2 linked regions of the Neurospora crassa OR74A genome follow. The protein of the gene in region 1 binds, or shares a complex with, the protein of each later gene. Links are inferred from orthologs where the notes say so. Each region holds a gene or a part of one and is shown in the gene's direction. Other genes may lie near its edges.

Region 1 (4,160 bases):
CGTCAAGCCAGACAGAATCGAATCATAAGCCGGACTACGATTGTAGATGAACCATTCTAGGCCAGACAGGCAAACACTGATGCGGCAAGGAAGTTTGGGTGTCGGCAGCTGTTCAGTGATGGGATCGGCGTCGGAACTGCTGTCGGTCTCGTTATGCCCTCGTGCGTCCTTCGCCGAGATCTTGACGCCCCGTACTCTGCGCAGCCAGTATTTCCATGTTATGTAGCCATTCTGGACCAGTATTGTTTCGTTCGCGCCGTGGTACCGAAGGCCAGTAAAGAACACGCGACCGCCGAGTAGAGAGATCTGGAGAGCCTGGATGTCGATGTAGACTTTGTACTGATGCCAGGTCCATGTCCGCAATGCCCACGACACCAGAGACGCAAAGACTCTGTTAAAATAAAGGAGGGAGAATATTGATAATGCGCCGCATATGATGAGAGATCCCAAGAAAAGGCTGTGAAGTTGGTCCGGCCAGGATTAGCAACAAGCGCAACGCATGACTGTCTGTCCGGTCTGGAGTCACTCACCCATTGAACCCCCCTTGGTCGTCAAAGAAGTTGTTTCGGATGGCCATCGTGTTTGAATATCAAGTCGCCAGACGTAGAGAAGTACTTCGCCGGCCAACATTCAACGTGGATTGGACAGTTTCCGTATGCGCCGTATATTCATGCCACTCTCCATGGTGCCGCTTGAAGCAAATCGAAAGAAGGCAAGATGTTGCGAAGAGGTCGACGTCGTCGCACGTCAACTAAAGAAAACAGAGCGCAGGAGCAAGCGACGACATGTCGAAGTTCACCAACTTCAAGATAGTGGGAGCTGTCACAGGTTCCCTTGACAATCGCAAGTGGTGGTAGAGGTACGTGGTACCTGCTTCCCTTTGCTAGGATGGCGGACGTAGAATTGCAGGTCGCTCCCAATTCCAACCTGAAGTCAATTTTAGGGGCGGGCTCTTGGAATTGGATAGAGCGACTGGAGCTGTGTAGGTAGGCAGACGAAGGTACATACTTGCTGCATAATAGTACACTATCTCTTGAGAGCGAGACGAACCTTGATGGGCAGGGGGGTTTGTCTGATTCCCGTCAAGTATATACACTGTATGGATCATCTAACTCACTCACTTTGTCCTGTCTTTAGAGATGGGTAAGACAGTGCAAACTTGGTATGCACAGTTGTTTCAAAACCCAGACCCCGTCGGTACTCTGGCATTCCAAGTTGCGGTTCCCAACGGCAATGGGGTGTCAAATACCCTAGCCGCCTAGGCTACAGGGCAGCGACGGCAGTAGTACCTAGCGTAGAGGTAGGTAGGTGTGTACATGTAGATGCCCGCCCACAGCCCAGCGTCATGCATGGCCTGCGGGCTCCTCCGACCGTCATCGTCACCTCCCCTCCCGATTGCCCAGACCACGAGACGTCGGGCCAACTACGACCTCCATCCCACCCAGATACCTATCTTTTCGTCGGTGACATCGCGATCCCGTTACCACCGTTAGGCTGCACCTGTTCCAGGTGCAATACCAGTGCGTCTTCGCTCCACCATGCCGGCGCAACATGCCATAGGTTGAACGGCTTTTACTCTACTTGCGATCAATAAGGCGTTGCCGCGCAGCTTTCGGGCCCCAAGTTCCGTCCAGATACCTCGTTGCCAGGATCCCGAGACAGAAAACATGGGAGGCACCGGCCAAAAGCTCGCCGATGTGGCAACCATAGTCGGAGGTGTCGCCTCTATTGTCGCGACTCTGCTCTCCATGGTGTATGTCTACCCTACAGATCCGCATCGTGTCGCAGCTCCAACTCCAGCGTCTGAATATCATGCTGACCAAGCTCTAACAGGTCAATATGGCTCCAAACGTGAGTTGCCCACCCATCGCCCGTGTCGCGAACGTCTTGCTCATCCAAGTCCGGCCATTGATATTCAGCAGTAAAAACTATCGCAAGCCGCTTTTGCAACGTTATGTTGTACGGATCCTCCTCATGTGAGTTTACCTGTTATCACCCTGTGGGACTGCTCTGTGGGCGGAATTCCTGATCATTCTCCATCTTCAGGGTTCCAATATACTCGATCGCCTCATGGACTAGCATGGTTTCACGGACCGCAGCAGCCTTTGTCGACCCCATCAGAGACATATACGAGGCTTTCACCATCTACACATTCTTCCAGCTGTTAATCAACTACTTGGGCGGAGAACGAGCCCTTATTATCATGACCCATGGTCGCGAGCCGATCCATCATCTCTGGCCGATGAACCACGTCCTCCCTCAAGTTGATATTTCCGATCCGCATACCTTCCTCGCCATAAAGCGGGGCATCTTGCAATATGCATGGATGAAGCCAATCTTGGCCTTAGCAGCTGTTATCATGAAAGCAACTGGGAGCTACCATGAGGGCGACATCAAACTTAACTCGGGCTATTTTTGGAGCGGCATTATCTACAACATCAGCGTCACAGTCAGCTTGTACTGTTTGGGCTTGTTCTGGGTATGCATGAACAACGACCTAAAGCCTTTCCGACCAATGCCCAAGTTCCTGTGTGTAAAGGCCATTATCTTTGCATCGTATTGGCAAGGCTTTGCCCTTGGAATTCTGGTGTTTCTCGGGGCTTTCCCGAATGTCGAAGGATACACACAAGACGGCCTTGCGGCAGCCATTCAGGACTTCCTGATCTGTCTCGAGATGCCAGCCTTTGCCATTGCTCACTGGTATGCCTTCTCTTGGCACGACTTTGCCGACAGCAGAGTGTCTGCCGCAAGAATGCCGGTCAAGTATGCGATGAGGGACGCCTTCGGGATTCGCGACTTGATCCAGGACTCCAAAGAAACTTTTACGGGTGACAAGTACGGTTACCGTGTCTTTGACTCGGGCGACAAGATCATGGCACATGAGCAGTCGCGGTCGAGACTGGCCAGACTTAAGGAAGGCATGCGATATGAGCGAGGAGGCAAGGGCAAATATTGGATACCAAGACCCGACGAAATCACTCAGAACACTCCGCTGTTGGGTGCAAACGGCGGCCCGAGCAGGAGGAGCAATTCGTCCTCTCCGCACCACGATGATGCTGACGAGGTTATACTTGATCCAGAGGAAGAACAACTCTACGCAGGAGCTAGGAAACTCGAGTTTGGTGACTGGAATGTAAGGAACTGCTTCATCGCTACATGGCACAATTGACATTGTCTGACTTTGTTTCTAGTATCCCGTCATTACAGCCAACGAGCCGTGGAAAGATCGTTATCGATCACCTCATCCTAGTCTCTTCCAAAACACTCCCACCGGGAGCTTTTACAATCGATCATCCTCAAGTAGAAGCTCAGTGCCCACGCTTAACCCCAGGGATCCTCTCGAAAGGCGCAAGAAGGAGGCACCAGAAGGCCCTGAAGCCCTTCCCAACGACAAGAAGGGCAAAAAGAAGGCAGACCCAAATGGTCAACGGGCCACGAACTCTACCCCAGACAAGGGCATGGATCCCTTGGAGATCGCATATGGCCCCATGATGGGCACGACCTCTAAACTTACAGAAGATGATTTCAGAGTCGACGATGTCAGCCCTCATCATCCGCACGGCACATCGCCCGGGCATGACACCTCACATGATCCTGAGGATGACGGAAAAGGTACACCGGTCACGGAAGTGTCTAACCACTGGGGTCATGCTACGGATACCGAAGGGGAGGAAGAGAGAAGCCCACACTTTACTGTTGGTGGTGAAGAGGAGTTTCAGAACGTGTGGGGAAGGTGACATTATCTTGCCTGAATCGCTGTTTTTGCTTTTGAGTTTTCTCCTTTGCTTTTTCGAGCTTCCGTGTTGCAGGAATTATTTCGGTGTCAAAGAGACCGTGGTATGGATGCATACACTACAACTACAGGTTCAATTAAGTTGTGCGGGCGTCGGACTGGCGTTGGCACAGGGCTTTTTGTTTATTTCGGTATAGCAAACCTGCAAGTAGAGCATTCGTAGACATTATCTTCATCTAAGCACACATATGGTACTCTTGTGTTGGTGTTGCGGTGTTGACAAAAAATTGACCTACCCTGTAGACATAAGTCTCTACCGCCGGTCTTTCTTTGCTTGCCCCTGAAGGAGCCCTGTTTGCTTTTTGGAGTGTCAAACAGTACACGAGAAAAGTCAATAGCATCGAATATCCTTGCCCAGTGAAGCGGT
Region 2 (3,255 bases), on another chromosome or scaffold:
GAAATCGAGAGCTTGGCCTCGGCGGGTAGTCTAGTCTTCGCTGGGTAATCGCCCTGCCTGCTGGGGATCTCGAGGAGGGATCCGCTTGCTTGTGGTGCCTCGGAGCCGAATTCTCTTCCACTGGTTGGATCAACTATCAACTACCTACACTACTAATGATGGAAAATGACGCTATACCCGGAACAGGCTGATAGACAGCTCCTTCTGTAACCACGCTGCCATCCATGATAGCGCAGTGCCGTATCCTGTGCGGGCAGCCCAAACGGAACATTCGCGGGGTGTTCCTTGCATTTCAACGGCTCCAGTGGATGGACGGGGAACCGGACCCTGAGGAGCGAGATGTCCACTTTTGGTGCTGCACGCACTCCGGGAGCGACCGGAAAAGCCACCTAGGCGGACACCGAAAACGGTACCTGATAATAAACACACGGGCCCAGGTCCCATTGATGGCGGGGCAAATGGTCAGCTCCGATCGGACTTCAGTTGTAGGGAGGCCCGGGAGGAGCTCCAGGATAAAGCTTCATTGCCGATAGGAGACTACTTATCATGGATAAGATATACCAAATGCGAACAAGCGGAGAGAATGACGACTTCGCAGTGGTGACATCCATGACCTGGTCCTCCGTAGGTCTTTAATAGTGTAGAGGTACCTAGGTAGACGGCAGGCGAACAAAGCGGTCAACAAGCTGCCCGTGCAAGTTCGAGACGCTGGCCAAGGCGATGGAACCGTCCACGCCCTTCTTAGTAAAATGCGGTCTACACACGTTCAACGAACCGGGAAGCCAAAGGATCACGGCCACGAGGCTGCCCTTGGAACGGAAAGGAGGTTTACAATGCGCCCTTCTTCGGGCCATCCTTTTGTCTTGTCCATGTGCCGCTGATACAAGTGGAAGGTATCATCAACCTAGGACTTGGTAATGTGTACTACAGTAGTGTACATGGAACGAGAGATAGGAGGCGGATACGGACCTAGTGCTGCGTCATTGCTAGGTACATACCTCCACGCCGCCCCACTGATGGCCAAGAGGTACCGTTCAGGTACCGCTCCTAGCTGAGTGCCGGGCACGCCTTCGCCTTGAAATGCCCCTGGAATGCCACTGAAAAGGCAGTGACCTGTTAAGCTTGACCATGTGAGCGACGGCCAGTGACCCATCTGATTCACCGACTGGGAGCGAGCTAAGCCCAATCGAGGATCGACTCTCGCTTTAGTCATCTGGTCAGCCCCGCCTCCGCCTGCTGGTCACCCGCTTAGTGTTCAGGTTGTCCTGGCGTGCCCGTCCAGGGCCTTTGACCCGTGCTGCGCAGACAGGCGGGCAGGCGCCAACTGGACGCGGCCGATAGGCAACACTGCCTGGCAACCTACCTACTAACATACCTTACATCGATGGTCAAAGAGGTACATCAACCCTTCTTCCCCCTCTTCATCCTCTTGCCGTTTCTTACCTCTGACATCTCTCCCCAGCTTCCTCATTTCATCACACGCCAGTCATCAAGGTATGTTCTGCATTTCCAGCCGGCCAACACTGATTCTGCTCCTTGTGGAAGCCATCCATGGTCCATCTCCCTTTCAATAGCCGCTTCTTCCGACTAACACCGGATTCCGTCTATCGCAGACATCGTCTTATCCATCCATCGTATCCACGCTTGTAGTCAATCTCAAAGCCAAACACCTATCACCGCATCTTCCACATTATCAACCCAAACCGCCAAAATGAGATCCAAGTTCAAGGACGAGCACCCCTTCGAGAAGCGCAAGGCTGAGGCCGAGCGTATTCGCCAAAAGTACTCCGACCGTATTCCCGTAAGCATCCCCCATCCGGACGATCCCGCAGTCACCGCCCTTATCCCTAACTAACACATGTCGCCACAGGTTATCTGCGAAAAGGTCGAGAAGAGTGATATCGCTACCATCGATAAGAAGAAGTACCTCGTACCGGCGGACCTCACCGTGGGCCAGTTCGTTTACGTCATCCGCAAGCGCATCAAGCTGTCGCCCGAGAAGGCCATCTTCATCTTCGTAGATGAGGTCCTTCCTCCAACCGCTGCTCTCATGAGCAGCATCTACGAGGAGCACAAGGATGAGGATGGGTACGTGGCAGCCTCCATCCCCCATCATTTTTTTTTCCAACTGTAACCCAGACTAACGTGACTACTACCACAGTTTCCTCTACATCACATACTCGGGCGAGAACACCTTCGGCGACTTCGAGACTGCGTAATCATATCCTCTCTATCGTTTTGCTTTAGACGTTGTGGGCGTTTTGGGATTCATACACGATTACTGGATCAATGAGCGGGTTGGTGGGCTGTGCATCATGTTGTTTCTGCTGGGTTTATATCCTTAGGGTCACGTTGGCTGAAGAGGGGGAGGGCTTGCTACGACAGAAGGGACGATGGGACTGTGCTGTTGGGGTCTGGACTTAGGTGCCACCTGCAGCCGTATGAAAGTGAAGTCCCCTTTACTTTGCTTCCCGGTGTGCTTTGGTCTAGAGACAGCATCATTTGCCGTTGGATTGCCCGGTTCACAAATCAATGTTACCCTCATTCTCTATGCCCTTTTTCACCACGCCGGTGACTTACATCCCTTGTTGAACCCCTCCGAACATGAACCTTGGATACATGGCCGCAATGGAGGCACATCACGAGGACGGTAGTTCCATACGTGGATATCACGAGGAAGCACGTAGCTTATAGAATATACGATAGGTATTACACGTATCCTAGCTGGGTATCGTTACACTGGTTGTCATGGTTGATGGTCTCTGTGTATAATGACGCTTGGTTAAATCCATTGTGTGTTGAGCTAACTGTTGGTCTTCCCAGTTCTTCTGAACCGATTTGATGAAATCACGGAGGACTCCTACGACAGTGTCGCCGTCGGTACAAACTCGCCAAACTCGTATATCCGATTCTGGCAGTCTTAGACCAACTTCATGCTTCGCCAATACAAGAAAGATGTGCCGACTACTTGGCATTGCATAGGTCTGCAGCCTAACCTCCAGGGGCAACTCCCAAGACACTCAAAGTAACCTGCCTCGGCGCATGACTGACACGTTTTCATCAACTTCCTCTGTCCTCTACAAAATTAACTTCACATCGCTGTTCAAACATTACATCAAATTTGATAGTTATATTGTCTTCTACTATAACCAGTCATCACAAAACTTCGTCTGATCATGATCATGTGGGGTCAAAACAATGGGCTGTGGCTGCAGCAATAACTGAAACAACAAAGGGCTATACGTGCGGGATGAG

Evidence for each region. Proteins that work in one complex are often made in the same cells at the same time.
Region 2: the proteins of NCU07701 (region 1) and atg-8 are in contact, whole or in part, in a crystal structure (PDB 6AAF), measured with the Schizosaccharomyces pombe proteins. The link is inferred for Neurospora crassa OR74A from reciprocal best matches to the Schizosaccharomyces pombe genes hfl1 and atg8. Residues at the interface, in NP_593211.1 of Schizosaccharomyces pombe: Leu386, Gln387, Phe388, Glu389, Ile390, Asp391, Glu393, Met394, Glu395, Leu397, Tyr398, Gln400, Ala401, Lys402, Met404, Arg405, Tyr406, Gly407; in NP_596531.1 of Schizosaccharomyces pombe: Phe5, Phe9, Lys13, Glu17, Arg20, Ile21, Tyr25, Arg28, Val31, Ile32, Lys46, Lys48, Tyr49, Leu50, Val51, Pro52, Asp54, Leu55, Gly58, Gln59, Tyr62, Val63, Lys66, Arg67, Thr87, Phe104.

Annotation. Positions count from the first base shown.
Region 1 is NC_026504.1:2,173,000-2,177,159, forward strand, and holds NCU07701 (DUF300 domain-containing protein), read left to right. Parts: upstream 1-1,360; 5' UTR 1,361-1,667; coding exon 1,668-1,753; intron 1,754-1,833; coding exon 1,834-1,851; intron 1,852-1,922; coding exon 1,923-1,976; intron 1,977-2,046; coding exon 2,047-3,133; intron 3,134-3,191; coding exon 3,192-3,737; 3' UTR 3,738-4,055; downstream 4,056-4,160. Other genes in the region: NCU07702 (hypothetical protein), read right to left, coding at 1-457, 531-577. UniProt on the Schizosaccharomyces pombe protein: Vacuole membrane protein that recruits ATG8 to facilitate the degradation of vacuolar integral membrane proteins during early-stationary vacuole turnover (EVT) when cells enter stationary phase.
Region 2 is NC_026502.1:3,123,300-3,126,554, forward strand, and holds atg-8 (autophagy protein 8), read left to right. Parts: upstream 1-1,375; 5' UTR 1,376-1,494; intron 1,495-1,613; 5' UTR 1,614-1,711; coding exon 1,712-1,801; intron 1,802-1,870; coding exon 1,871-2,088; intron 2,089-2,161; coding exon 2,162-2,219; 3' UTR 2,220-2,755; downstream 2,756-3,255. UniProt on the Schizosaccharomyces pombe protein: Ubiquitin-like modifier involved in autophagosome formation. With atg4, mediates the delivery of the autophagosomes to the vacuole via the microtubule cytoskeleton.